Linked DNA regions of Struthio camelus. The protein of the gene in region 4 interacts with the protein of the main gene of each other region in a pairwise test. Links are inferred from orthologs where the notes say so. Each region holds a gene or a part of one and is shown on either strand. Other genes may lie near its edges. The genes, in order: MBIP, L3MBTL3, RABAC1 and PLEKHF2.

Region 1 (7,649 bases), on a different chromosome or scaffold from region 4:
GAGTGCAGCGGAGGAACTTAAGTGTTTTGCTGTTTATCTTTTTCAAGGTTTTTTGAAACCTCCCCTTTTGGGGGAAGGGAGGAGCCTTTTATGTGCCCTAGAGATCCATTTCAGGGATGAAAGGTGCAGAAGATATAATCATATCATGATAATTCTACCCCTAAATGTTGAAAGCCATTCCAGATTCTTCCCTTCCTTAGTAGTCACATCATTAAAAATGTGAGAACTGCCATTATTGCCAAGTTGCATATATTTAAATCTTCCAATCCTTCTTTCTAAACCAGTGTATCTACCTCCAGCAATCCATTTTCTAATTTTGTAATGTAATATTCCATTTTCTAAGCCAATTTTCTACAAATTCCCTCCAAATTACCAGTATCTTGCCAGTAACAAGAGCTTCCAATATTTTATTGTTTCACCAGCTTTACCGAGCGTGGCATGTAATTTCCTCTGCCTTTATGTAAGGCCTGGATTTACTGTGGCCAGTTTTACTGCCAAGGCGGTTGCAAGTGTACTCAGCTTCCCCGAGCACTATGTGCAGTGAGCATATAACCATCTTTTGGAACTCTTCTATTCTGATCGCTCTCGTCCATTAAATAGGAATGCTTAACAGACTTTGTCTTAGCTGTATCAGTGTGTGTTTCCCCTAATTTGTTCTCATTTTCCCACATGTTCTGATGTTTCTAATCTCTTAAATCCCTTTGGATTATTTCTCTGTTCTCATTCATATTTGCACAGGGTGTTACATAATTTAATCTGTCAAATTTCAGCTGATACCAAATGTCTTCATTCAGCAGCTGCAAAATGGATCAAGACCCTCTGAGGTAACAGTGCCTTCTATATCAATAGGAATTATTAAGTTTTCTCTAAAAGGAAATATTTGCCATCAGCTCTCTGACATTAACCATCCTGCAGACCTCATGGTCTCTTGCCTACTTTTCTAGCAATGATCACTGAATAAGTGACAGAAGATCACCTCCACCTTCTCTTGATATCCTCCACATTCTCACGTCCATTGTCCCTTGTATTTCCATACGTAACACATATGGCAGTGTCACCACCAGTATCTTCCTGACAGTACTTATCTCTTTATTTTTCAGCAACATGTGAAATTGTTTTTGTACCCACAGAGCTCTTGTAGAGATAAAGATAACATGCTTGCAAGCAAAGGAAAGATCTTAGCTCTCTCCCACTTAGTAAAGCTACACCTAACAACTGCAAAATTAGACACACACCTGCTCCATGATTCCAGGAAAAGCAACATTTGTCTGAAGTGGAATTTATCAGGTAGCTGAACATTTTTCACTTTAATTTAAAGCTTGTTTCAGATGTCTGGCCTTCATCTATCCTTGGAGGTCATTTGAGATTCAGGAAGAGCAAAATGCATCCTCTGACACTGAGCAACAATGAATACCAGGGTATTATATCAGTGCTTCACATTCTATTCTGGCCAGCAAATTACTTCCATGTTTATTCAGGGTGTTACAGTGTTTGGCGGGGGAAGGGAGATTGTATTTTCCTTCAGTCTTGAAAGCTTCATGATTTGGATCAAGTGAGAATGACAACATTCTGCAAAGTTGGTTCAGCTGTCTGTCCAGAGATAGCACTGCAGGAGTCACAGGCAGGGCAGGCGCAAGCAGCTGCTCCTTGACCATAAACTGGAATTAGCGTTGTTGGACAGAAGTGCAAAATAATATTCTGCCATCTTTTTTGCCATTCATTGCCATGGCCTATATATGTGTTTAAGATGTTGTCTTTTCGTAAGAGCAGTATCTTTGCAGGAAATAAGTGAAAATATAGATTAACTCTACATTTCTGAGCTTCAAAAATCAGGAAAGCATTTGGCAGTAAGCATTTTAAAACCCAAAGAGTGTTTCTTATCATCCAAATCCAGCAAAGTGCAATCTAGCTTGTTTTAGGTAAGATATTGTAGCTCTCCATGTAATATATTTATAAAACTTTAGCACTGAAGTCCTCTTTGGAAATAATTTTCCTCTTCCAGACTAGGACTTTCTGTATTCAAGTCTTTTCAAATATTTAAGTTGGTTGCTGCATGGAGACACAGAACACTAGGTTTACTGGGAAGTATTTTCACTAAATTAACCTAAGTTTAGTCTTCATACTTGAGAGAGGAATGCCTTTAAAATATCTACCAAAATATAATTTAAATAAATTAATCTGCATGCTAACATTTTTATTCAAGAATATCAGTCTGCTTTACCGTTTGTATATATGGCAACACACACCATTTCCCAGTGGAACAGAAAATATATCCTCATGTTATAGGTACCCTGATGTAAAGAAACTGTCATTTTAGCTCTGAAGACTAGCCTTCAGGTACATGCATGATGTTTTCCCAGTAGAAATATCAGCTTCAGCACTATACTACATGCTGAGCTGATCACTTGGGACTTACCTAACAGTAAAGCTCTAAATGCACGATTTCCATTGTGTTTTTACCAGGGATAGTAAGTGCATAGCAGTCAGTCTGTGGTAAATAACAGGTGTCTTAGCAGTGAAGACAAATCCTGAAGCTCCAGAACTTGCTTATGATCATGCAAAAGCCTCCCAAAGGTTTAGTTTAACAATAGCAGCTAGAAAACAAGTACCAGTTGGAATGGCAATACCACCTGGAAAAAAGAAAGGGTGGTGAGGACAATGGGACACAAAATGAAACAAAACCATGGATCACAGCACTTTCTCAACATCTCAGAAGGCTTAACACCATATGAAAGGGAAACTACACACATCTGGTTTCTGTCTATTGCAGAAAGATAGTAAGGGGCCAGACATGTAAGCTAGGTGAACTAACTGTAGAAGCAAGCAAGGAATTCCCAAAAGGAGTAATATCATCTGACTACTTTCTACAGTCCTCAGTTTCCTTTGACTAGTTAGCAACTTCCTCAACATCCTTCTTGTTGTTGTTCTCTTACCTTCATTCCTACCATCATCCCTTTCCTTCCTCTCTCTTTCCCTCACCTCTTCTCTCTCAGTATCCTTTCTGTTTACTGTTTTAGTCTTCCCTCTTCAACCATGCCTTTAGCATAATTTATACCTACAATATCTCAACATAGCAGTAAAATGTAGAATTACTTTGTTGTTTGCCAACTTCACAAACTATCCGCCCATTCTGATATTTTTGATCTGCGGGCATCCTCTGCCCATCTTGTCTGTTTAGATGTCCTCTTGCCCTTAACGTTCCAGCATTGCTTACGAATGGTCTCTGCTCAGGATTTTGCAGTTACTGCAACTGCCATGACATAAGATAGGGAAGAAAGCAAAATGTCAGGACTGCCGTATGGTATACAGCTATGTGATCTTCCCTATACCGAAGGAGCAGAACTGGCCCATAAGCCTAGAAGGACCTTCCTCAAGAGAAGAGAAAGGATGAAAAGGACCAAGAGAAACAACTAATTCTAAAGGAAAACTACTGAGAGAAGGGAAATAGGAAGAGAAATGAAGTTAGAGGATCAAACGTAGGGTATCAAAGGAAATACCAGACAGAAAACCTTTGTCAGCACCTACTGTTCTAGGAAAGAACTCAAGCAGACTGTCTTAGAAGAGATACAATCATGCAAGCCCCATAGTCAGAGTACTCTGATAAACTTGCTCCTTGTGGTCTGATGAAGAAACAACCTTGCTGTAGCCAGAAGGGTCAAGGCTTTGAAGGGAACTACAGACAAGCGTACCAAAGTGAAGGTATATCCAGCAAAGCACAGCTGAAACAAGCACACTAATCTGATATACTCTCAATAAACACATGGTATACCTCCCTCCATGAAAGAGCACTCAGTTAGGGTACTCCTAAAAATGTGCCTGCCTTTGGCCAATGCTCACAGCTCTATGGAGTCCCTTAAACTGGGCAAGAAGGCAAACAAAAGGGTGAGGGGGTAAGGTCATCCCCACCTTCTGGGGCACAGGGAAGGGAAACACCACAGGAGCAACTGCAGTCCAGGGTTCAAAGCCTGGTTATACCAAAAATGCCAAAGCAGCAGCAGAGAGGTGAGCCTATGTCACCGGGTCCAGACTGTGACTTTGCAAGCAGCAAGGTGGTCTTCCGCAATGGGCCTGAGCTGCAAAAAGCTTCAGAGTCCGAGGGAGGTCAGCAAAGGGAGTAAAAGCTATGACGTTCCCTCAGCCATGGGAAACAGAACTGCTTGCCATACCGGAGAGCTCAGATTTCACAAAAGAAGGTGCTCCGCGCCCCCCCCACACCCCGAGAGCCCACATACACTCCAGCCCGGGGGGCACCAGAGGAGGATGGTCAGCGCCTGGCCTGGGCCAAGCCAGGGCCTGGGCCTGACTCTCCCGGGCCCGAGCCGCACTGTAAGTGCCCAGAGGCGGCCCTGCCCACCCAGTTCCTACACACTTTATCACGGGAGCCCCCAGAAGCGCGGGGAGGCAGCGCTCAGGACTCCCCCGGGGAGCCCCGTCCCCCTGGCGCTGCTCCCACAACCGCCTCCACCGCGCTCAGCCCGCCATGGCGGCGGCAACGCCCCGCCGCCGCCGCCGCCGCCCCGCCCGCAGGGCCGCCGCGCTCCCCGCTCGCACGGCCGGCCCGGCAGCGCCGCTCGCCATTGGCTGCGGCGCCTGCCCATCAGGCCGCGGGGGCGGGCCCGGCGGGCAGGCGGCCCGAGGGCTCGTCATCGCGGAGCGACGGCCTGGCCGCGTGTCATGGCGGAGGAGGAGGCAGCGGCAGTGGCAGCGGCAGTGGCGGCGGCGCCCAGCCCGGCCCAGCCCGGCGCCGAGCCGGTAGCCTCGGAGGTGGCGAGCAGCGCCCTGCGCTCCCTGGCCGCGCTGGCGGGGCAGGTGAGTGCGGGGCGGGGGCAGGGGCAGGGCCGGCCGCGGGCCCCGCCTGCGCCCTGCTCGCCCCGCATTGGGGCCCCGGGCAGGTGGCTCCCCCCGCGGTTAGTTTTAAAGTGCGTGCCCGGAGAGGAGAGGGGCCTGCCGTAAACAACGTGGTGCGCGGCCGGGGGCTGAGCCGCGCAGGGCTGTTCATTGCCTCGTGGCACTGAAGCACATCTCGGGGCTTTTTAATCGGAAGGATGGCTTCTGCCGTGAGCCAGAACGGCTGGCCTGCCGCCGGCCAGCTCTGTCTTGAAAATCGCTGACTGCGAGCTCAAAGGCTGCTAAAAAAAAGTTACTGTAGATTAAATTAAAAGAAGTGCCTGTCTGTGGGCTGGGACTGTAAAAGCGGCCTTGCACTCTAGTGGTTCAGTTGAAACACCAGCTTTAGTGATGGTGATAAATTATTGTTATTGAATAGATGCTACGTTAGTGGTGAGAGGCCCTTGTTAAGAGAGGGCTTTAGTTTACAAATTAAGTCCTCCTCAATTGTGCTGGCACATACGCAGTTCTGTCAAGGCAGTAGAAACACTCATGCTTTTAAAACTAGACAACAGTTTGGTGGTTTGGGGTCAACTGATGAGCAGTAGCTTAAACGTGAGGGACAGAAGGTAACTTAGTATGTTTTTAGCTTACCAACATAGTAAGAAATGTAGTCTAATCAGGTATAGAGGTAGTTTGGTAATAATTGTTGACTGATATGAAATTATTTTTTTTAGAGCATCTTACCTCTTTTCGCAATAGAAGCGTATGCTGTATCTGCCCCTCACCTCAAAGTGGCTGAGGAAACGTCTTAGTTCTCAAGCAAAAGGCATCCAAAATTAAGGGCTTGAAAACTGGGGCTCTGACTAATAAGGATCTCGGCTTTCTTAACTGTAAAGGGAATAAACACAGCCTTGGCTTTTGAACGTGAATGCTGTGTTAGACAACGATCATACACAGCTGAATATTAGATACGTAGAACTACTGTGACAGGAAAACTATCCGTGTATGGGATACATGGATGAAATATCCCATAATTCTTCATGGTGAAGAATTCTAAATCTAATCAATGAAGAATTAATGACCATCGTTCTACCCTGATGGATTATTGTCATTCTTCTATGTTATTGTTTTTATAATGCTAACGTGACTGAAAGGTCAAACTCTCATGAAAAGCATGGGGAGGAATAAAGATAAAGATGTTATCTATGGTGCTCATCACACGTTCAATTAACTGTTTTTAAATCAATGTTAAGCACACTAGTTTCTGTCTCTTCCTGTAGTTTCTGTCTCTTTCTCAGTCGCTTACCTGTTCCCTAGTTTGCTTTAGCTGTGCTAGGTCTGGTGTGTCACTGTGGAAAGCTTAGTGATAAAACAATATTTAGGTGTTGACAGACAATTGCAAGATTCAGATTTGAGTGGCTACATCCCCTGAGCTGAGTTACAGTAGTTAAGGTGCAGAGTAAAATTGCCCTCGTTGGCATTTGGCGTATCCTTGTTCTATGACAATTTAAGCTTATTTCACTGTGCACTGAAACAATCTACAAGTAAGTTAGGGCTCGTTGCTCCAGCTTAGCTGAGGAAGCACTAACCCTTTTAATTACTCAACCACAATCATTTGCAGTTGTCCAGTTACACTCTGTGTCTGCTAGCACTTGAGTTCCGATAGATTTACTTGTGGTTTTTTACCAATTTAACTGACTCTAGTCATCCATCCTGTACCTTTGACTGAAGCTACTGATTCCTGCTTTCCCGATTATAGAGATGAGTGAAGTGAAAATGGGCCAGGTCACTGGCTATCCAGTTTGTCATACATCATACTAGCTTAAATTGGACTTAGGCGTATATGTTGGACTGTAAACAGGAACATTTCTGGCACAGGAATTTGTTTATTAGAGCAAACTTGTGGCAGAGGGCCTAGGAGGGCAGCTGGGAATTATAACTTTTAAAAGCAATGTGACTTAACTCTGGAAAGTTCTTTAAGCACTGAGTGACAGTCATTGTCTTTCATAAAACTGTTACAAAGGGCTAGAATGACTTGTGTTCATGTAAATTGCCGCAGAATAGACTATTGGCCTATAAATACACAGAAACATTGAAGTTACCAAATCGCAGAATTTCTAAGCCTACTTGTCACAGTTCTTATAGGTAGAGCATGACACAGTGAGAAAACTAATTATATTGTACTAGAAGCATGTTCAGATGCAGGATAGCTTTATTTTCTGCTTATTTGTAAAAATACTGTCTGAATTTAGAATAGCATTTGGTAACATTCCTAATCACTTGTCTTTAAATTATTCTAAGCCAGAAGCTCAACTGATTCCGTACATTGAACCATCTTGATAGGAGCAACAACTTATAATATGAAGGCACATGTTGGCTATTGCTTTTTGAAAAAAGAGGACCATTAAGGAATTGCATTAGACCTCCTGTTTTGTTCCGTTAAAGATGACTTACATCTACACCTTTTTTACCATCTCTGTGGACTATAATTTAGTATACAGCACATGTTACTCTAGAAACTTTGGGAAGAAATACTTGCTTCAGATAATGCCCTTCAGATGATCACATATGCACAGTTATTTAATTCTTAAGGTAAAGTTTAATTCTTAGTTCTTACTAAATTCTTAATACGCTCTTGAATTAGTAAGGTGTTCAAAACATTGCTTTTTCTACATCCTGTGTAGATTAAGTACTGAACAGGAAAATAGCTTGTGTGAAAATGGTCTAAAATATATGTCTAGCCAGACAAAGAGATTGATTCAATCAGTTGTTGTTTTATAGTGTGTTTCTAATGTTTTGATACACACACAAAAAACTGC
Region 2 (6,920 bases), on a different chromosome or scaffold from region 4:
TAAGGAGAGATCTTACTGCTGCCTTTAACTACTCTAGTGGTAGGTTATAAAGAGGATGGAGCCAGTTCTTCTTGGAGGTGCAATGTAAAAGGACAAGAGGCAACCAACTCAAGTTGCAAAAGAGGAAATTCCAATTAAGTAACAACAGAAAGAAGAATTTCACTATGAGATTGGTCAAACTCTGGAACAGGCTGCCCAGAGAGTTTGTGCAATCTCTATTGCTGGAGATAACCAAACCTTTACAGGACCTGGCTCTGAGCAACTTGATCTAAATTGGCCCTGTTCTAAGTGAGGGCCAGACTGGATGGTCTCCTGCTGTCCTTTCCAAAAAAAATTATTCTGTGATTTTATTCTATGATTCTGTGACTCTAAAAAAGACACTTGCAATGTATCTGTCCTGTATTTTAAACATTTCTTGATTCTTCACTTCAACAACATAAATTGTATTAGGCACTAAGGTATATAAAAGTTCCTTAAGAACTACAATTCTTTTTAAAAGAATTTGTGAGATTTTATTTAAAAATTAAACTATGAAAAGAGTCTATCAGTGTTAATATAAATAGAATTATACGAAAATATTGACTTTAACCAACGAGAAATAAGTGCAAGAAAGTCTCCAATATCGAAGCTGCGTTTTTACTTAAAACAGCTGAATACCTTCTGAGGACACTGTAAAAAAGTATCAGATAAATAAACAGTTTATTTTAAAACATCAATATATGTATTACTTTAATATCTGTGGGTGCTTTAAGACACCCACATGACAAAGGTACAGAAAAATAAACTATTCTTAGAAAAAAAAAAGTACTATGAACATGAGACTTAAGTGTCAGTGACTGTAAAAAATTTTTAGTTAGTATTATACTTTAAGAGGACTGATTTTACACACTAACTTCTGAGACGTCTTGGATTTTGTGCACTTGATTACTTCTGTCCTAATAGTGAGGCAGTGCTCGTTTATGCCTTCCTACGGGAATGACTGTTGTCTTTGCCAGCACCAGAAACTGAATCAAGAAACTCCAGAGCTAAAAGCTAACAGGCTACAGTTTCTTAACTCAGAGCTGCATGTTTTATTCATAAAAGCAGATACCTACACACCAACTTGTAATACATTCTTTTGGCATATAAAGTTGTTATTTCACTTATTAAGAAGTTACGTATCTTACCTTTAGATCACTTCCTGGCAAAGTACCTATCCCATCTTTCCAGTCCATAGCACTAAATACATCAAACTCTTGTCCATTCCCACTAGAGGCAGATTCATTCATGATGCATGTACTAAAAAGAAAAAAAAAAAAAATATATATATATATATAAAGGCTTTACCTGTAAATTAAAGTAGTTTAATGCTCAAATCACTGGACATTTCTTCAAATGCACTTTGAAATGCATAGACTAGTATCAAATCCCTCAACACACTTACAATGTACAGAACTATGCTGATAATAAAAACTAATGTAATAAAACAACAGCAAGTCTTTGAAAAACGTAGAAAATAGTATCTACTTTATACACTACTTATTAATGAGCTGAACTGAAGAGAAATAAATAATTTCAAGCTGCAAAAAGATTGACGTTGGGCAAACACATCCTAGAAATATGTAAGAAAAACATATTCTAGGGAATGAAAGGCATAAACACATGCCTATAATAAACATCGTAAGAACTGATTAAAATAACTGGTTTCCCTTAATATCTGGTAACATACTTCATTCCAGTCCAAATTAAAATTTCAAATTGAATTTGAAAGTCCTTCACTTTCATTGTCTGACTCAGAACATACAAATACTCCTTGTCTGTCACCATATAGGCTCACCAAATATTCGTTATTTATTTCTAAAATGTATTTACATATAGACAAGCATATACACACCAGAGAAACAGCTGTTTTGGAAGACTTTATTTTACTGTATCCTTCTGTTTCACTGCAGTGAAAGCAGAGCAGAAAATATTTGTTTACCATTAGAAATAGTAGACTTGGACCTCCTTCTCTGTTGTAAGAATTTATCTCCAATCATTTGCACAAGCAATACAATTATACAACTCCTGTCACTATCACAAATACGACATCAGTTGTGCTGAACTGTAAATGTTTTTAGCAGCCATTTGTGACTATTGCTAAGTTCTTCCTTTCTACTTTTTACAAACCCAGAGATCTTTAAATTTGTGGGCTGGCACCTAATTTAGTATTTATTCAACATGAAGTTTGACTCAATTATTTTCCTTGTTAAGGACTGCTGTGCTACACCTAACAGTTGAAAAGCTTATTTCACCAAAAGCTTATTTCTTTTGAAATTTACACTTTTTGAACTTTTTCAACAAATACTTTCCAAGCCTCATACTCAGCCTGCAGACCGCTTGCAAACTTTGGCTGCAAGTATCAGTATTTGAAATTCAAACAGGCAGGCAGTTTCCCCAGCTGTTTGACCCCAGTTTCTAAAATCTAATTTTTTATCTCTAAAAATTCTACCCACAAAACCTACTCTCTGCAAATATTTGTTAATATTCTCTCAATATCTGGAATTTCCACAAAAAAGATTAAGTGAAATGCGTTCACTGTATTACTCGCAGATGATAGAAAAAGATGCAACCCCAGCAGAAGTAAACTCAGATCTACCAGAGGCTTCTGACTTAAAGTTTGAGGAGAAAACACTTAATTATTAACTGTTGTGTGAAAAATATTCAACTTTCTATTTTTGCAGTAGAAAAATTATAGCCATCAATTGAACATTATAGATAGACATTACTCTCATTTTGTGTTTGCAGTGTGAACTCCTTTATATTTCTGCATGATTTCTTCTTCATTTATAGCAGAATTCTAAAGTTTTTACCACCCTGAGCAACACCTTAATCCACTAGTACTTTTGTTACAATACAGCCCCTATACCTTGTCAACAACATGACAGAAGCAGGACCTCAATCAGTAACCACTGCTGACGGTGAAGGCTTCTGCATTCCTCTTCATTTTGTATGACAGGTCGGGTTCAGAGATGGAGAAAATAGCTACCTGTGCCTACAGGAGTTTTTTTTTTTTTTTACAAAACTTTATAGACGTCACAAAACAAATTTGAAGAAGAACAAAACTGAATGAGTCTTTTCTATCTCTAATTTTAGTTCTTTTCTATCTCTAATTTTAGTTTTTCTCTGTGTGAACATATTGAAAACCCTACCACCAATGTACAAAAATTCACTTTTAATATATCAATAAATCTAAATAAATTTAGGGTAAATTGAAAAACTCTCAAACCCATACAACTCACCGTCTAAAATCCCTCCCAAGCAAAATGCATCACTCCAGCTTATAGCACCTCCTGAAATTCAACCTGGACAATCTCTATTTGACTTAAGAAAGTAGCACACTTGAGCTCTAGACCGTCCTAAGAATCCAGTCTTCAGCACTATAATATACCAACCTAAGCAGGCTTACACCGAACTAAACTGCAACATCATGGCAGAGATGTAGGCATCCTCTCAGAAACACAAGACCTACCTCAACTGCTATGGACTAGCTGAAAAATTGGATTTACCCAGAAATCCATGAAATTTTAAGGACATAAAAGATGCTGTTTAAGCACACTGGTGTAATGTGTTCCTCATGAGTAGTCTGGCTAAGCAAACACAAAGCTTCACTCTGTATTAACTAAAGTTTCTAAGTAATCTTAAATTACCATCCCATTTAAAGAACACTGCACTCAACTATGCTGTGGTGTATTTATTACAGAAAACGTTCTAATGGCTTCTGCTCTGCAGAAAGAATGACCAAAAAATGGGAAGAGACTTTGAAGACTGTGGGGAAACGCTTTCTTGCAGTGGTCGCTGTCCCACAGAGCGAGAAGCAGCAGACAGCCGCTATATCACATTCTGGAGTTTCTGATAGAGCTTCTCTCATCATATAAACATTTTGTAACAGAATCACTTGCCAAAAAATGATGGGGGATGGGGGAAACTTACAGCCTAGACTACTTACGCAGGATGTAAACTGTGAAAGTCAAAATAAAATACTAATAATAGAACCGTACCGTGCACATTTCTCTCAAGAAAACCATAGAAATTTTAACTTAATTGCACCTAAGAAAGCTTTCATCGGGTAATAATGAGTAGCAATGGTGTATTCTGTTGTTTGACAAGGTACTCTTGTTTTTTTTCTAAAATTAAACTCAATATTAAAGGCACAATCTGTACTTTCACCTACTGGTCCTCTTTGCAGCCTTCCAAACTGTTCTGTGTAGGGATGAAAAGGTAATGGGGCAATACAGATTGAAGTGAATTTACCCAAAGCTGCCACATTTAACAAAGTACCAGTTTCCAGCTTTGCTGAGTTTGAACAGATGAAAGATCAAGGTTGATAGGTCTATATCCCACTGCTAAGGACAATGAGGAGGAAGAAGCAGACCAATTAAATCACTATAGCAATGAGGAATTAAAAAAGGATGAAAGCATTACAGTATCTACATCTAAATCACAGAACAAAGAAAACTACGGAATGCCTTATCTACTCATTTCCACTTTCATCTTTAAAGCTCTGGTGTGGTTCTCTGAACTAGTATAACTGAACTCCTTTTATAATAACGCCTCTTGCTATCATACACAACTCTAGGAACGTAGTAAAAATACTGAATTAATATGGGGAGTACTACTACAATACTGTACCTATGCCTATCACTGAATGCCATCTGATGTGAAGGTAAGGACACAAAATAAGAACGTGGAACATTCATATTCCAAAAGCCTCATCCAAAATCCACTATTAGGGACATAACTGTATCTCAGTCTTCCCAGCCATAAGCTGTAACATATATAGAGGAGTGTTTTAAAGCTGTGTGCTGCGTTTTCATGTTTCAACATTAACCTTGTTTTAGACATATTTAATAAATGTCTTAAAATAAACAAGCTTATGAAAGAAGATTAGACGCATCCTTTAGAAAACCATTCATTTTTACCAACTGGCTCAACAATAAGTGAATACTTCACAGAACTGATACTTAACGAGAATAACAGCATTAAAAATTAGATAATTTAATCTGGTGGAAGATTCTCTATTTAAAGACTTAAAGCTAAGAAATAGAAGAGAATATGCCAACTAAACCTACAAGTATTTTTTGAAATAATTACAGGGTTATGTACTAAGTATGTCAAAAAGTAATAATAGAAGGATTTTTTCTTTCAGTCAGGGCTTTAAAAAATTACCTGACACCTACCTAAGTTTTGAAAATCTAAGATGCCATCTATGACGTGTGCAAGGTAGTAGTACATACAATTTCTCACCAGAACGTGCCCAATTCAATACGGGGTCACTCAACAGCAAAGAGAGGAGATTTCAAAAGTAAAGCCCTTAGACAGTACTACTGGATCAGCAGAATCCATCTGTGAATAAGCATGTGCACTCCTTTTTGCATTCGTGTGTACTTTTATTTTATTTTTTAGGATTCCTGAAACCACCGTGACAGGAGTGCCCAGTAGATTCGTTCCAGGAGAGAACAAGCCTGTGCCTGCTCCCTTCCCCAACTAACAACTCTTGCTAGAAAAGAGAAAAATAGGACAAACAGAGCCAGAAGTGGTCTAAACAAACGGTGCAAGGTGTGAAATGAGAGCATCAAATATGGGAGGTGATGTCCTCAGACATCCTAGCGATGTTCCCTGTTCCTCAAAGACACCCATGGAGCTGGGAGATGCCAGTGCTGAGAGATGTTCAGAAACAAAGGAACAAGAGTAGGCCCCAGCCCAGCTTTTTGTCCTAACGTTGCTCATAGCTGTTTTGGTCAGGTCCAAGAAGGAGACTGCTTAGTGTAGTATCTGCAGATATCTACAGATAGGTGGGACATTTATAACACATAGGGAAAATGAAGTGGATCAGATGGGGGCAATTCAGTGTATCAGAGCAGCAAATAGAGTGCTCTAACTTCTAGACAGTAGACGGATGGATGCTCATTTTCATTTTTATTCCCTTTATCACAGAATAAAGTGAAAAATATCAGGGCTGAATCATTATACCCCCAAGCCACACAAAGGAGAATTATCCTTCGCAACCTAAGCTCCCTTTTCTGTTTTAGACAGACTTTGTATTAAGCTAGGTTCATCATGACACTGAAGGCAAAGCAAAACTTAAGCCAACTGTTGTGCAGAACGGCGGTACAAGGAAAAAGACTTACTTGCTATTCACTGTAAAGCTATCATGGTGAGTCCAGCTTTCCTTCCCACAATCATCTGGTTTGAGCTGAGTATACTGCACACTTGCCTCTCTCTTCCATTTAATCTTTTTGCAGCTGATTCTTTACTTGAAGAAGACAACCACAGTGCAGAAACTGGTAACATGCTTTGAGGCCATCCACCACATTTTAATATGCACATTGTTTTATACCTATTTAATAATATATTTTTATCGTAAGAAGTATCTGCAGATCACACATTTCCTTTCAAATTTCATTATTCATACTGTAGTTTAAAAAATATTTTACCAGATTTGCCATTTTTCTATTCTGTGCACTCAAGAGCTGTTTGAGCAACGTCAATTTCACTACTTTGCCTGTTACTCACAAAGTTTATTACAAAATAGTTATTTTAAAGATAAGATATATAGGTTGGCATTGTAGTCACAAAGGACCTAAATTTAAAATTCTTCACCATTCTTAACACGTGTAGCAGTAAACGAACCAGACTTCCTACTGATGATATGCCTTTAATATTATTTCTTCTTATTTTAGCTGTTGCTACTCGTTTCTCTGCTAGATTCTCCAGGGGCACTGCATACGTCTGTTCCTGCTTTCCAGTAGATCAGCTTAAAGTTTTTTTCCTCATACACGGAATCTGTTCTTTGATAACAGTAATTCTGCACTAGTGCTTGAGAAGCCTTATGATGCTTTCACCTGAATCTGGTCTCTGCCGGTAAGCTAACACTGGTATTGCTGGACCACTGCTAGGAA
Region 3 (7,244 bases), on a different chromosome or scaffold from region 4:
ACCCCCATATCCTGTCCCCCCTGCCCCACAACTGCCCCCAATACCCTCAGCACTGACCCCTCATCCTGCCCCAAAGCAGCCCCACAGTCCCTTGTTCCGAACCCCCCAATCCTGCCCCATAGCAGCCTCCAGCCTTAACTCCCCATCCTGCCCCACAGCAGCCCCACAATCCCACCCCATGACCCTATATCCTGCCCCACAGCAGCCCCACAATCCCACCCCCATGAACCCCCCCATCCTGCCCCACAATCCCACCCCATGACCCCCCCCATCCTGCCCCACAATCCCACCCCATGACCCCCGCTGTCCTGCCCCACAATCCCACCCATGACCCCTGCTGTCCTGCCCCACAATCCCATCCCATGACCCCTGCTGTCCTGCCCCACAATCCCACCCCATGACCCCCCCATCCTGCCCCACAATCCCACCCATGACCCCTGCTGTCCTGCCCCACAATCCCACCCATGACCCCTGCTGTCCTGCCCCACAATCCCACCCCATGACCCCCTGTCCTGCCCCACAGTCTCACCCCATGACCCCCGCTGTCCTGCCCCACAATCCCACCCCATGACCCCCCCATCCTGCCCCACAATCCCACCCATGACCCCCGCGTCCTGCCCCACAATCCCACCCCATGACCCCCCCGTCCTGCCCCACAGCAGCCCGCCCCGGGCTCACAGGCAGTAGAGGATGAGGCCGAGGAAGACGCAGAGGTAGTTGCTCTGGAAGCGCTCGCCGTTGTGGGCCAGGCGCTGGCAGAGCTCCCCGAAGGTGCGCGGGGCCCCGAAGCGCCGCTGGTCCAGGAAGGCGCCCCACGGCCGCAGCCCCGCGCGCCGCCCCTCCAGCCACCGCCGGGCCGCCGCCGGCAGCGCCAGCCTGCGGCCGGGACGCCGCGCTGCCCCACGGCCCCTGCCCCACGGGGGCACCCCCCCTGCCCCACGGCACCCTCCGCCCCACGGGGGCACCCCCCGCCCCACGGCATCCTCCGCCCCACGGGGCCACGGCCCACGGCACCCCCTGCCCCACAGCACCCTCCGCCCCACGGGGGCACAGCCCACGGCACCCCCTGCCCCACGGGGCCACGGCCCACGGCACCCCCTGCCCCATGGCACCCTCCGCCCCATGGGGGCACCCCCCGCCCCACGGCACCCTCCGCCCCACGGGGGCACCCCCCGACCCACGGCATCCTCCGCCCCACGGGGCCACGGCCCACGGCACCCCCTGCCCCACAGCACCCTCCGCCCCACGGGGGCACAGCCCACGGCACCCCCTGCCCCACGGGGCCACGGCCCACGGCACCCCCTGCCCCACGGCACCCTCCGCCCCACGGGGGCACAGCCCACGGCACCCCCTGCCCCATGGCACCCTCTGCCCCATGGCACCCCCTGCCCCACGGCACCCTCCGCCCCACGGGGGCACAGCCCACGACACCCCCTGCCCCAGAGGGCCACGGCCCACGGCACCCCCTGCCCCACGGCACCCTCCGCCCCACGGCACCCTCCACCCCACGGGCCACGGGCCACGGCACCCCCTGCCCCACGGCACCCTCCGCCCCATGGGGCCACGGCGCACCGTACCCCCTGCCCCACAGCACCCTCCACCCCACGGGCCACGGGCCACGGCACCCCCTGCCCCACGGCACCCTCCGCCCCATGGGGCCACGGCCCACGGCACCCCCTGCCCCATGGCACCCTCCACCCCATGGGGGCACAGCCCACGGCACCCCCTGCCCCACGGCACCCTCTGCCCCATGGCACCCCCTGCCCCACGGCACCCTCCGCCCCACGGGGGCACAGCCCACGGCACCCCCTGCCCCACGGGGCCACGGCCCACGGCACCCCCTGCCCCACGGCACCCTCCGCCCCACGGGGGCACAGCCCATGGCACCCCCTGCCCCACGGCACCCTCTGCCCCACGGCACCCCCTGCCCCACGGCACCCTCCGCCCCATGGGGCCACGGCCCACCGTACCCCCTGCCCCACGGCACCCACAGCCCCATGGCGGCCACAGCCCCACCGAGGCCCTGACCCATGGCACCCTGTGCCCCCCAGCACCGCCCCCCCCCACCCCAATGCTCACTTGGTGCCCAGCCCGGCCAGGGGGTCACCCTCCGTCGTGGGGTTGAAGAGATGCTCCTGGGGGGGGCTCCCCGCCATGGTGCTGGCGGGGGGGGGGGCTGGAAGAAATGGGGGGTTATGGGGGGGTGGCAGCCCCCCCATGTCGGGGGGTGGATGTCCCATTGCAGACATGAGGGGGCTAATTTGGGGCAGGGGCTTGGGGGGGGGCTCAGGCCTTGTCTCTATGGGGCTGCAGGGCTGTTTTGGGGGGGGGGCACTCAGGCCTTGTCTCTATGGGGCTGTTTGGGGGGGGCGCTCAGGCCTTGTCTCTATGGGGCTGCAGAGCTGTTTGGGGGGGGGGGGGCTCAGGCCTTGTCTCTATGGGGCTGCAGGGCTGTTTGGGGGGGGGGCTCAGGCCTTGACTCTATGGGGCTGTTGGGGGGGGGCGCTCAGGCCTTGTCTCTATGGGGTTGCAGGGCTGTTTGGGGGGGGGGGCTCAGGCCTTGACTCTATGGGGCTGTTTGGGGGGGGGCGCTCAGGCCTTGTCTCTATGGGGCTGCAGGGCTGTTTGGGGGGGGGGGCTCAGGCCTTGACTCTATGGGGCTGTTTGGGGGGGGGCGCTCAGGCCTTGTCTCTATGGGGCTGCAGGGCTGTTTGGGGGGGGGGGCTCAGGCCTTGACTCTATGGGGCTGTTTGGGGGGGGGGGCTCAGGCCTTGTCTCTATGGGGCTGCAGGGAGGTTTTGGCGGGGGGGTTGCGGGTTATGGGGCCTGCGGCCGGATCACTGGGGGGGCGGGAACCGGGACAGACCCCCCCCCCCCACCGGGGCTCCCCCGTTGCCATGGCGCCCCCCTCAGTGCTCGCCGTCGCCATGGCGACCCGCCCCCGCCCTCACCTGCTCGCGGCGCGGGGCGGAAGCGCGGTGCCGCGTGGCAGCGCGGGGGGGCGCCGCGGCGCGGGCGGACGTCGTGGGGGGGGGGGACGCAAGGGATGCCGGGAGAGCGGCGCCCCGCGCGGGGCACTCTGGGAGATGTAGTTTATTCCCCCTCCTCCCAGTTGCGGGGGGGGGCACGGTGCAAGGCGGGGGTGTTTGGGGGATGGGGGTGTTTTAGGGGAGGGAGGTGTGGCCTCCCCATCCCCCCGCGATCCAGGCAGTTGTGGAGGGTCCCCAGAGACCATGGGGGACCCCCCCAGGATAACTGGATGCCCCAGAGCCACCAGGATCCCTCCCAGGACCTCCCCATAGACACCCCCAGGATCATTGAGGACCCCGGGAACCCCCCCCCATGGATCCCACAGGACACTTGGGGACCCCAGGGACACCTCAAGGTTACCCCCCCATACCATGAGGGACCCCAAGGAGTCTCCAGAGCCACCAAGACCCCTTGGGACCCTCCCCCAGAGGCCCCTCGAGCACCACTGGGGACCTCAGGGACCCTCTAGGGCCACCCCAGGGTTCCTGCAGGTCCCTTGAGGACTCAAGGACACCCCAGAATCATCGGGGACCCCCCCAGGAACTCCCAGGGCCATTGGGGACCCATCAGGGACACCCCAGAGACCCCTGGGACCACTGAGGACCTCGTGGACCTCCAGGTGCCTGCCAGGATCACTGAGGACCCCAGGACCTCCCCTGAGGCACCAGGGACCCTCTAACCCCCATGGAGACCCCCCCCCGGGGCTACTGAGGACCTCAAGGACACCCTAGACCCACCAGGGACCCCCCCCAGGGACTCTCCAGGACCATGGAGGACCCCAGGGACTGCTCAAAGCCACCCTCAGGACCACAAGTGACCCCTGGGACACCCCAGAGGCATGGGGGACACCCCAGAGAAACCCCAGGACCATAGGAGACCTCAAGGATACCCTCAAGAGACATTGGGGATCCCCTCAAGAGATCTTTCCACAGGATCTTTGGGTCCCCAGGAGCACCCCAGAGCCACTGAGGACCTCCAGCGACAAGTCTGTCCTCCCACGGTGCCTGTTTGTCCATCTGTCCTCCCCCAGCACCTGATGGACTGTCTGTCCATCCGTGGGACCCTGGGCACAGCCCGGCCCCACCTTCTGCCCAGCTATCCCTGGTTGTCTGTCCATGCATGTCCATCCTCCCCTCCCTCCATCCACCCCTCTATCCGCTCGTCCATCCATCCGGCTGCCCCTCCACCCCTCCCTCTACCCCTCCATCCCTCCGTCTCTCCATCCACTCCTGCATCCATCCATCCCTCTGTCTCTCCATCCATCCACCCTTCCCTCTTCCTCCTTCAACCCCTCCATCCCTCCTTCCATCTCTCCATCCATCCCTCCACCTCTCCATCTCTCCACCCGCCTACACCTCTCTCTCTCCTGTCTCTCCACTCATCCTTCCCTCCATCCCTCCAAGACTCCCTCCCTCTCTCCAGACCCCCCATCCCTTCTGAGCCCCCCAGGTCTCTCCTCCCTCATCCAGCCCCCCCAGTCTTGCCACCCAGTTCCTCCCCCCCAAATTCCCCCCGGCTGCCCCCCACTCTGAGTCCCTCAGCCCTCTTGGTCCTGCCCCCCCAGCTCTGCCCCCCTGCTCTGCCCTGATGGCCCCCAGGTCCCCCTGCTCCTGCCCCCCCAAGTCACCCCACTTCTGCCCCCCAACTCTGCCCTGGTGCCCCTTGGGTCCCCCTGCTCCTGCCCCCCAGCTCTGCCTTGAGACCCCCCCATGTCCCCCCACTCCTGTCCCCCAGCTCTGCCCCAGTGCCCCTTGGGTCCCCCTGCTCCTGCCCCCCAGCTCTGCCTTGAGACCCCCCTATCCCCCGCTCCTGCCCCCCATGTCCCCCCACTTCTGCCCCCCAGCTCTGCCCCGATGCCCCCTGCTCCTGTCCCTCGGATCCCTCCGCTCTGCCTCGAGACCCCCCCCATATCCCCCTGCTCCTGCTCCCCCCAAGTCACCCCCCTCCTGCCCCCCAGCTCTGCCTTGAGACCCCCCCATGTCCCCCCACTCCTGCCCCCCAGCTCTGCCCCAGTGCCCCTTGGGTCTCCCTGCTCCTGCCCCCCAGCTCTGCCTTGAGACCCCCCTATCCCCCGCTCCTGCCCCCCATGTCCCCCCACTTCTGCCCCCCAGCTCTGCCCCGATGCCCCCTGCTCCTGTCCCTCGGATCCCTCCGCTCTTCCTCGAGACCCCCCCCATATCCCCCTGCTCCTGCTCCCCCCAAGTCACCCCCTCCTGCCCCCCCAGCTCTGCCCTGGTGCCCCCCAGATCCCCCCGCTCCTGCCCCCTAGCTCTGCCCCGGTGCCCCCCCCCGTCCATCCTCCCCCCCGGCGGCAGCGGGCGGAAACGGCCCCTGAGTGGCGGCGGCGGCGGCGGCGGGGAGGGGGGCGCGGGGGCGGCGGGGGGGGCGCGGGGGCGGCGGCGACAGCCCCTCTCCATCTTCCCATTAGCGCTAATGGGCAGGTCCCGCTCCCCGCCGCCCCCCCGTTAATCACCGCCGCCTGATGAAGATTTATCGGCTGCCGCCCGCAGCGCCGGGGCTGCGCCGGGCTATGGGGCGGGGGGGACAATGGGGGGCACTGGGGGCCATGGGGCAGGGGAGGCGCGGGGAGGGGGTCTGTGGGGGGCATTAGGGTCTATGGGGCATGGGAAGCATGAGGCAGGGGGCTATGAGACACATTGGGGGCTATGGGGTGGGGAGGCGTGGGGGGCATTGGGGGCTGTGGGGGGCATTAAGGGCTATGGGGCATGGGAAGCATGAGGCAGGGGGGCTGTGGGGGGCATTGGGAGCTATGGGGTGGGGAGGCATGGGGGAATTACGGGCTATGGGGGGCATTAGGAGCTATGGGGCAGGGCAGGCATGCAGCAGGGTTATGGGGGTGGAGGGGTGGAGGTTATGGGGTAGAGACAGCTATGGGGGGCAGAGGGGGACATGAGGGGAAGGGGCTATGGGCCTAGGGGAGCATGGGGCAGAGAGGGCTGGGGGGCAGGGAGGGCTATGGGGCAGAGGGGTTGAAAGCTATGGGGCGGGGGGGCATAGGGCAGGGGAGGATTTCAGGGCAATGGGGCAGAGAGGGCCATGGGGCAGAGTGGATGGGAGCTGTGGGGCATGGGGGACAGAGACAAGGCTGGGGGCTACGGGGCAGGGGGGGCATTGGGGGCAGAGGAGGGATATGGGGCCTATAGAGCAGAAGGGGATGGGGGGCTATAGGGCAGAGAGCAGGCTGCATTGGGGCAGACAGGGGGGCAGAGTGGGGGTGCTCGGGGTTTGGGAACATTTGGGGGTATTTGTGACCGGGGGTGGGGGGGTTGCAGTGACCTCACTTATGGGGCGTGCCCCCCTCCCCGGCGTCGGAGGGAGAACCTAGGCGTCCGGGGGGGGGGGGGGGGCCTGCTTCGCCCCACAGGCCCCACCGCCCGCGTGGGCCCAGGCGTCCGGCCGCCCCGCTGCAGTGCGCCCCGCTCCCACACGAGGGCAGCTCTGTCCCGAGCAGGGCCCGGCTCCGAGCTCGGGGCCACCCGCGGCCGTCAGTAGGGACACGGGGCAACGGGGCAGCCCCAGCCCGCCCGCCCGAAACCAACCTCAACCCAGAGCCAGGAGCACCCCAAGGCCCCCCCCCCCATAACCAGCCCTGACCCTGAGCCAGATGCACCTCTAAAGCCCCCCAAGAGCACCCTAAGGACCCCTAGGAGCACCCCAAGCCCCCCCATACCCAGCTCTGAGCCAGAAGCACCCCAAAGCCCCCTCAGCATCACCTCAAGGCCCCCCAGGAGCACCTCAAAGCCCCCCAGGAGCACCCCAGGGACCCCCAGGAGCATTCCAAGCATCCCCCCATACCTATCTCTGAGCCAGAAGCACCTCAAAGCCCCCCAGGAGCACCCCAGGGACCCTCAGGAGCATCCCAAGCATCCTCCCATACCTATCTCTGAGCCAGAAGCACCTCAAAGCCCCCCAGGAGCACCCTAAAGACCCCCAGGAGCACCCCAAGCACCCCCCCCATACCCAGCTCTGAGCCAGAAGCACCCCAAAGCCCCCCCAGCATTACCCCAAAGCCCCCCAGGAGCACCCCAGGGACCCTCAGGAGCACCCCAAGCACACCCCCATACCCAGCTCTGAGCCAGAAGCACCCCGAAGCCCCCCCAGAATCACCTCAAGGCTCCCCAAAGAGCATCCCAAAGCCCCCCAGGAGCACCCTAAAGCCCCCCCCAGCATCCCAGGACCCCCAGGAGCACTCC
Region 4 (6,857 bases):
CTCGAGAAACGTAGTGTCCTACATAGGCCTCTTGAGAGTCGCTCAGCAAGCCCAGGACGTGCCAGCATAACTGGCTTTTCATAGGCTATGGCTGCGGTCCTTTGCGGGCATCTTGGGGAAGCAGAGAGGTCCTGCCCTGACTACCTTCTTAGCTCGTGGCACCCTCAAACCCACAGGAGAGCTTCCCGTCAACCTCCATCTCCTGGGGATGTAAAGAGGCAGCTCTGTGTGGCTCAGCTTTTCCCGCTGGCGTTGTTCCATTGTACAGCAAAGGATTCACAATTCATTTGGAAAGAGGTGAGAGGGACCATGAGGCTACAGCCCTCACGTTGTATTTGTCCCCTCCAAGAGGAGAGCACTAAGCTCTGGTGTCTGCTTCTGAGACTGGGAATTAGGTGTTTATGTGCCTTTGAGATCTGGATCTAGGCCTCAGTCTGTTGGAGAGCTTAAATGCAAACTGTTCCTGGAGGAATGGAAGTCTGAAACCGTTTTCCTGCCAATCCACAGTCAGATGCTATTATCATTGCTTAAAGAAACCCGAAGGGTTCAAATATAGCATAACTTCTGTTTGCCTGCTTCTAATGCCAGGAGATGTAAAAGCACCCTAAAGGGCTTCTAATGCCAGGAGATGTAAAAGCACCCTAAAGGTTTGTCCGTCCATATTTTCTTAATTGAGTTATTGCTCATTGCTGTTGAAAGTGAACACAAAAAGGTGTTCCTCCTCTTAAGCCATAGCTCAGAATAGGACAGTTTAAGGATGGAAATCCAAATTTCAGCTTATGGTTTGTTCAGAAATATATACATGGAACTTGATTCCTTCAGTGTTTTCTAGAACACTTTACAAAGCCGGGTTCACGACAAATTAACAGGATCTGCGTTCTTACAGATCCTATGGTCTACACTTTTAGTAACATAAATATGCTCTGAACTGCAAAAATGCTATGCCTTTCTAACCCTTGGAAACCAAAAATTGCAAAACTTAGGACCTACTGATGTTTTTTAAAAAATATCTTTGATTAATTTCTAATAAAGGATGGAAGGGCATCTTTTCCGTTCAAGAGTGGAAGTTTAGAATTGGGCATTACAGATTATTTAGTGAGAGCTGAAGTTAAAAATAACACAAATGTTTGCAGGGACAGTAAAAGACACTGCTCTGTAGTAAACAAAGAGGTATTTCTGGTTTGGCTTCTGAGTCCTTTCTTCTCAGGGTGTCAGCTGGCAGTTTGGCTGTGTAGAAAACTGAGGACAAGAATGCTGTTTGCAAGAGAATCGAGTTTCTGCAACTAAAATGGGATAAGTGCCAAATGAATGAAAGGTTGTTCTATGTCTGTATTAATTTTTGTTATAAACATAATTTTTGGGGAAAGGCCTTGCCCCTTCTGGCTACCTCTTTGCCAAATTCTTTCATTACCTTTGATGTACAATATGTGTGGCTTCCTCATTATGACGAATTCTCATCAAACTAAAACTCATAACATAGATGACAGAATTTTTCAGCTTTCTGTTGGCTGATTGGAAATTGCCTTCAAGTTCTAAAGACATTTTGAATACAAAGATGGTGAATAAAACTAGTCAGAAATTCATACTGTGTTAAAACACAGCGATCCCTTTCTGTTTACAATGTCAGAGAAGCAATCTATCAGAAAACAAGTTTGGCGTTTTTTCTTCATTTCATTTTTTTTCTTATGTTGAGAATAAAACTCTAACCCCACCTGGTCCCTGCTGAAGTTAACGCACACATTGACCTGAACCTACTCAGAGAATCAAGGTTTTCAAAAATCATTAACAGTAAATTTCCATACTTCAAATTTGGCTCTAGTTAGCTAGGTTAGTTGGCTTCAGTGGACTTGCCAAGAAGTAATTGATTAAAGGTTAGCAAACAGGCATAATAATGTTTCAGAAGAATATGAACTATAGGTGTGCTGGCTCCTACAGAATGCATAGAAATAGAAAGCAGCAAAAACTTAGTAAAGGTTACTTATATATGCTATAAACATAATAATATGCTTATATATTATACTACATAATATCAGTATAATAATTTATGTTTTAATGAATTTTTACAAAATCAAATGACACATGATGTTATGGAGGTGAAAAAAAGGAATTGGATAAATTTGGTGACTATCAAATAGAGTTTTGATTGCAACCTCTAGCACAGTAAGCCCACCTGTCCAAAAAAAAAAAAAAAAAAGACTATTGGAAGCTCAGTTCATGAAATAAATATTTAATTGTTCTATTTTTGTATTTTCTTCCTAAGCCTACACCAGTGGTCACTCTTGGGGACAGGGCACTAAGTTAAACGGACTTCAGACACGACCCATTTAGGTTAAGTGTGAAGAACAGAGTGGTCTGTTTTGAGCATTGTCAACTTTTTATCTGTTTATATTTAGTTCTAGTTTTTGACTTCAGCAAGCTGGAAGAGAACTCAAAAAGGAGTGAGGAAATGGTAGGAGCTGAAAAGAGCAGTCTCATAATTTGCAGGAAAGTTAGAGAAAAGAAAATTGTCATGGACAGACTACACAGCCCTCTACCAGAGTTTGAAAAGCAACCGCAATACGATTTGTTTGGAGAGAGAAGGGGAAAAAAAAGCATTAATAAAAAAGAAGTTTTTCACGCACACTTGGTTTCCTAGCTGTTACTTCCTTTCTACCCAGACTCCTAGCGGCTCTTCTGGGTCTCTTGTCTCAGTGGGAGATTTGCTCTCCTACAGCAGGGGGCCTTTCTCCTTGACACGGTTTGTTGATTCTTCATCAGGAATCCATGGAAGGGGGTCAGGTTTGGTACTCGCATTAGCGATTTGGGTTCCTTACCGCTGCGTGCTTGGGAATTCACTCTCTGAGCTGGGACTGCATCTGAATGACCCCTGTGGCGCGAATGCGTGTCAGTGGCCCTTCTCATCTGTCCCGGCCATTCGTCACACCTCCCTGCAGAAGCAGTTGTTCCCGAAGCTACAACCGTGACAACCCAAACCGAGCACAGCTCTTCGGTTCCCGTGATTTGTTAAATCCTTTAGGGCAGCGCTCAGCTTGGGCTGGGCCTTGCGGGTTTGGGAGGAGAAGCAGCCGTAGGAGCGGGGGCACTGCTGTGTGCTGGGCATGGGCAGCTCCAGCGCAGCGGGCTCTCCCGGTGCCGGGCGGGAGGACACACGCGCGGCCCCCTCGGCGCTGCGCTGCGCCCCGCCGCCCTCCCCCAGAGCGCGCCAGGCCGGGGGCTCCCCACGGCTCCCCACGGCCCCCCTTTTCCGCGCGACCATGCCAGCTGCGATATGAATTCCTCCTGACGTCACGTTTAAAAAAACGCCACTGCCAAAAATGCCACAAGCTCACTTTTAACTCTGCACCTTCATCAAGGCAAACAACCCTGCCTTACGAATCTGAATCAAACTCAGCAACTTTAGTGGGCTCATTATTACCCCTGGAAAGCCACACTGCCTAAGCGGATTTGTCCCCCCCCCCCCCAGAAAAGCCAGCCGCTGTACTGCCCAGTAAATCAGCTGAACGGGAGATGTGGAAAACGAAACTCTGCTGTATTTCACGTTAAGCGAAACTTTTTCTTAAAACAGCTTCGGGCCGTTTGCCACAGGGCAGTCCCGCCCGCTGCAGCGGGGCGAGAGCAGGCAGCGCCGCGTTAACGCCGCGACGACCGCGCTCCGCTGTCACTTCCCTGCGAAGCTCGCAGCAACCCCGAGCCAAAGCCGGGAAGCAGGAGGCGGCGCGGACAGGCCGGAGCCGGGGCCGAGGCGGCGGCGCGGAGCGGACGGAGGCGCCACCCCGACCCTTCCCGCTGGGCCTCGCCCCTCCCAAGATGGCGGCGGCCCCGCCCCGCGCGGGCGGTGCCCGACCCCCCCCCTCCGCGGCGGCGGCGGTGGCGGTGACGGGTGTGTGACCGCGGCTGCGGTGGGCAGAGGGCGGGAGGCGGCAGCGACTGGAGCGGAGGGAGCTGCGAGCGCCGGGCGGCGCGGGGTGAGGAGCGCGGCGGCCGGGGCCGGGCGGGGAGCGAGAGGAAAACTTTCCTGGCGGAGCCCCTTCGCTGCCGGCCGGGGCTCCGGCCGCCCTTGCGCGGCCATGTTGGGAGCCGGGGGCTGCCTGGCGGGGGAAGGAGCGGCCCCGGCGGCGGCGGCGGCGGGCTCCGCCGAGCCCCGTGGGCGGCCTCGGCCCGGGCTGGCGGCGCTGGGGTGCCGGCCGGGCGCGGCGGGGAGGGCGCGGGCAGCCCGCGGCGGAGCGGGGCGGCGGCGGCGCGCCGGGCTGGCTGTGGGGCAGGGCAGCGGCGGCCGGCGCTTGTTTTTTTCCCCCCGAGGTGCCGACAGAGTTGCCGAAGCGAGTTCGTCTTTACAAGGGGCGCGGGGGGGGGGAGAAGCGCAGCCCGAGCCGCGGCCGCCCCGAGGCGTTACATAAGTGCGCGGGGCTCCTGGAGCCGTGACGGGCGGCGGGGCCGGGGCGCCCGGCGGGAGCGGCTGTGTGCGGGCGGTGCGCGGAGCCGCCTGCGCGAGCTGCAGCGGCCCTCGCCGAGCGCGGTAGCGAGGGCGGCGGCGGCGGCGGCGGCGCGGGCGTCCTGGTAACTTTCAGCTACTCGTCGTTTTCCAGGCGAGCAGAGCGGCTGCCCTGCCGAAACCTTCTGGATGCTGTGGCTTTAAAAAAACAAAACAGACAAACAGGTGAAAGCGTGGAGGGCGCATCTGTCAGCGGGAAACTTGCTACTTCGCTGTTAAATTTGCCTCTCTTGGAGAGGAACGCGACTGGTCTGCTTAAAATACCTGGGGCGCCTAAGTTGTCCGAGAGCGGTTCGAGCTAAGGCATCTTGGCCGCAGGTTTTCCCTTTTGCCTGCGCTGCGTGCAGAAAACCCCGGGTTTATAAGTAGCTAGTGAATGAACTGTTCTTCATGGTGGGGGGGGGAACCCCAAAGAAACAAGCAAAAAAACCCAGTGAATTGGTCTACGGAGAGTGCATCCTGGCGTCTGATTTGTCCTGATTAACAAAAAATGGCTTTGGCTTAAGTTTTGACGTTAAGCACCAGTGCAATAGTTTGCGATACCCTAAAACTACCTGTTATATCGCTTAACCACATATTAAGACTTCCTTTGCTTCTGTTTCGATCGCGTGGCTGAGAGCGGTGCCGGAGGCAGCATTAACCTCTGACTCAGTCTGTGCCGCGTGCCGGGTGATTACTCTGGGGGTTAATGCTTTTTGGACAAACGCTATGTTTCAGGCTCTCATGTGCCTATCGCTTTGCCTACTCTATTAACCTTGTCTAAACCTAAACCGACTCTGAGATCAAACCCACAAAACTGGAATCAAATTTGGAACTGAGATTACTAATTTCTCTTACTTTCTCTAAGTAAAGGAAAAACTTAAATACGCAGCTTTCACATTCTAAGAATAGTAGATTTTGAATTATTTTCAGGGATGGTCACCTGAAAGAAGGGAAGTATTTAAAGACTGCAGTGTAATTACTCAGTGTTGAGCTCCTACAGATGCTTGTTTTATGTGAGCACATCAGTGTGAGAAAGGAATCAAGTTTTTAGCAATGAATGCAAATTTTTTCGCTTTTGAACTATGTGGTCTAAATACTATTGACTAATCAGGTGAGAATCCTTATGTAGTTAAAGGTCATGCATATCAGCTCAACTTACTTAATAATACTTTCCAGGGTGTTTCAGGGCAGTGTAGCTTATGTTCGAAATGGCATGCTAGCTAAGTGTCCAAAGTGCAGTGAAAGTGAAGCCTTGTAAGCATTACTCCCAAATTCTTCCTTCTAAATGTAAATAGACCATGTGGCGTTTGGAGTGATTAAGAGGTTTGTTCTGTGTAGAAAGCTACACAGAGGAATTCCCTTAAATGCTAGATGAAAACTAGTGAGTAGAAATTTGGGACTGGGGAAGCTGGATCACTTTCCTGCTTCCTATCTTTTACAATTAAGCAGAGCGATATCTTTTCGTCTGGAAGCAAGTTTTCATTAAAACCAGGAAGGAAATCGTTCTTTAGCAAGGGCTACGTTCTGTTTTCCTTAAATTATGGACAGAGATTGTAAGTTAGTATTGCGTACTTCTCTGGACTAACAGAAGATCTACCGTTAACCTCCTGAAGCCCATTAGTTTACGCGTTTACAGTAGAACGGTTATTGTGTTCAGATGGCGTTGCGACTTCTTGGTTTCGCCGTTGTGCTTATGGATGCAGGAAGGCTTCTTCTTGTCTGGTCAGAGCAGTAAAAGCAGCCTGGAAGGGCAGTTTTTAATGAGCCGGGATATCGCAGAGCGCGGCAGGCACATCTAGTTTACCCTGCCAGGAAGAGCCGAGGGAGTGCAATAAGGCAGGGTGTTGCCTGCAGGGTAGGATATGAACGGTTTTTTGTTACACTCGGAGCGTTTGTGGTGCTTTATCTTCCCCAAAGGGGGCTAGACATGTTAAAATGAAAGCTTAGGGTCGAGATATGGCGTGTCGATGAGGCAGAGTTGTTTTTACGCCTGAAGATATCATTTTCTGAAAAATTAGTGGTAACTAAAATGTTAGAAGTATTGGCCAAGCAAACAAACGGTATGCAAGTTTTTATTTTTAAAGGCCATTTGTTAGTGGGTGATGTCAAATAAGGAACTCCAGTGTTAACTGCGGATAAGTTTGTTAGATGTTGGTAGGTAAGAAAGTTAGTTAACTTAATGCTCTCTCTTTTTTTTTGTATTAAGAAGTTAAACTTTATTCTGTACTACTTTAAGTTCGCAAGGCATGCTTTTGACTTATTCCAAGCTCTGTTAATATTCAAGATTATTTTTCCATTTAACTCATGTGGATTTTTTTTTTTACGGTTGTTGATATCTGTGTATATATGTTTTGCTACTTTCATAGACTAATTCCATAATTTG

What was found.
Region 1: the proteins of PLEKHF2 (region 4) and MBIP interact in binary tests that used the Homo sapiens proteins (3 or more experiments, as listed by UniProt). The two-hybrid records come from large-scale screens. The link is inferred for Struthio camelus from reciprocal best matches to the Homo sapiens genes PLEKHF2 and MBIP.
Region 2: the proteins of PLEKHF2 (region 4) and L3MBTL3 interact in binary tests that used the Homo sapiens proteins (3 or more experiments, as listed by UniProt). The two-hybrid records come from large-scale screens. The link is inferred for Struthio camelus from reciprocal best matches to the Homo sapiens genes PLEKHF2 and L3MBTL3.
Region 3: the proteins of PLEKHF2 (region 4) and RABAC1 interact in binary tests that used the Homo sapiens proteins (3 or more experiments, as listed by UniProt). The two-hybrid records come from large-scale screens. The link is inferred for Struthio camelus from reciprocal best matches to the Homo sapiens genes PLEKHF2 and RABAC1.

Annotation. Positions count from the first base shown.
Region 1 is NC_090946.1:55,850,595-55,858,243, reverse strand, and holds the start of MBIP (MAP3K12-binding inhibitory protein 1), read left to right. Parts: upstream 1-4,627; 5' UTR 4,628-4,674; coding exon 4,675-4,809; intron 4,810-7,135; exon of another isoform or gene 7,136-7,398; coding exon of another isoform or gene 7,399-7,422; intron 7,423-7,649. UniProt on the Homo sapiens protein: Inhibits the MAP3K12 activity to induce the activation of the JNK/SAPK pathway. Component of the ATAC complex, a complex with histone acetyltransferase activity on histones H3 and H4.
Region 2 is NC_090944.1:70,676,995-70,683,914, reverse strand, and holds the start of L3MBTL3 (lethal(3)malignant brain tumor-like protein 3), read right to left. Parts: upstream 3,013-6,920; 5' UTR 2,902-3,012; coding exon 2,888-2,901; intron 1,279-2,887; coding exon 1,167-1,278; intron 1-1,166. UniProt on the Homo sapiens protein: Is a negative regulator of Notch target genes expression, required for RBPJ-mediated transcriptional repression. It recruits KDM1A to Notch-responsive elements and promotes KDM1A-mediated H3K4me demethylation.
Region 3 is NC_090980.1:287,229-294,472, reverse strand, and holds the start of RABAC1 (prenylated Rab acceptor protein 1), read right to left. Parts: upstream 3,012-7,244; 5' UTR 2,952-3,011; intron 2,177-2,951; 5' UTR 2,157-2,176; coding exon 2,080-2,156; intron 877-2,079; coding exon 679-876; intron 1-678. UniProt on the Homo sapiens protein: General Rab protein regulator required for vesicle formation from the Golgi complex. May control vesicle docking and fusion by mediating the action of Rab GTPases to the SNARE complexes.
Region 4 is NC_090943.1:148,700,374-148,707,230, reverse strand, and holds the start of PLEKHF2 (pleckstrin homology domain-containing family F member 2), read left to right. Parts: upstream 1-3,836; 5' UTR 3,837-3,880; exon of another isoform or gene 3,881-3,965; intron 3,966-6,857. UniProt on the Homo sapiens protein: May play a role in early endosome fusion upstream of RAB5, hence regulating receptor trafficking and fluid-phase transport. Enhances cellular sensitivity to TNF-induced apoptosis.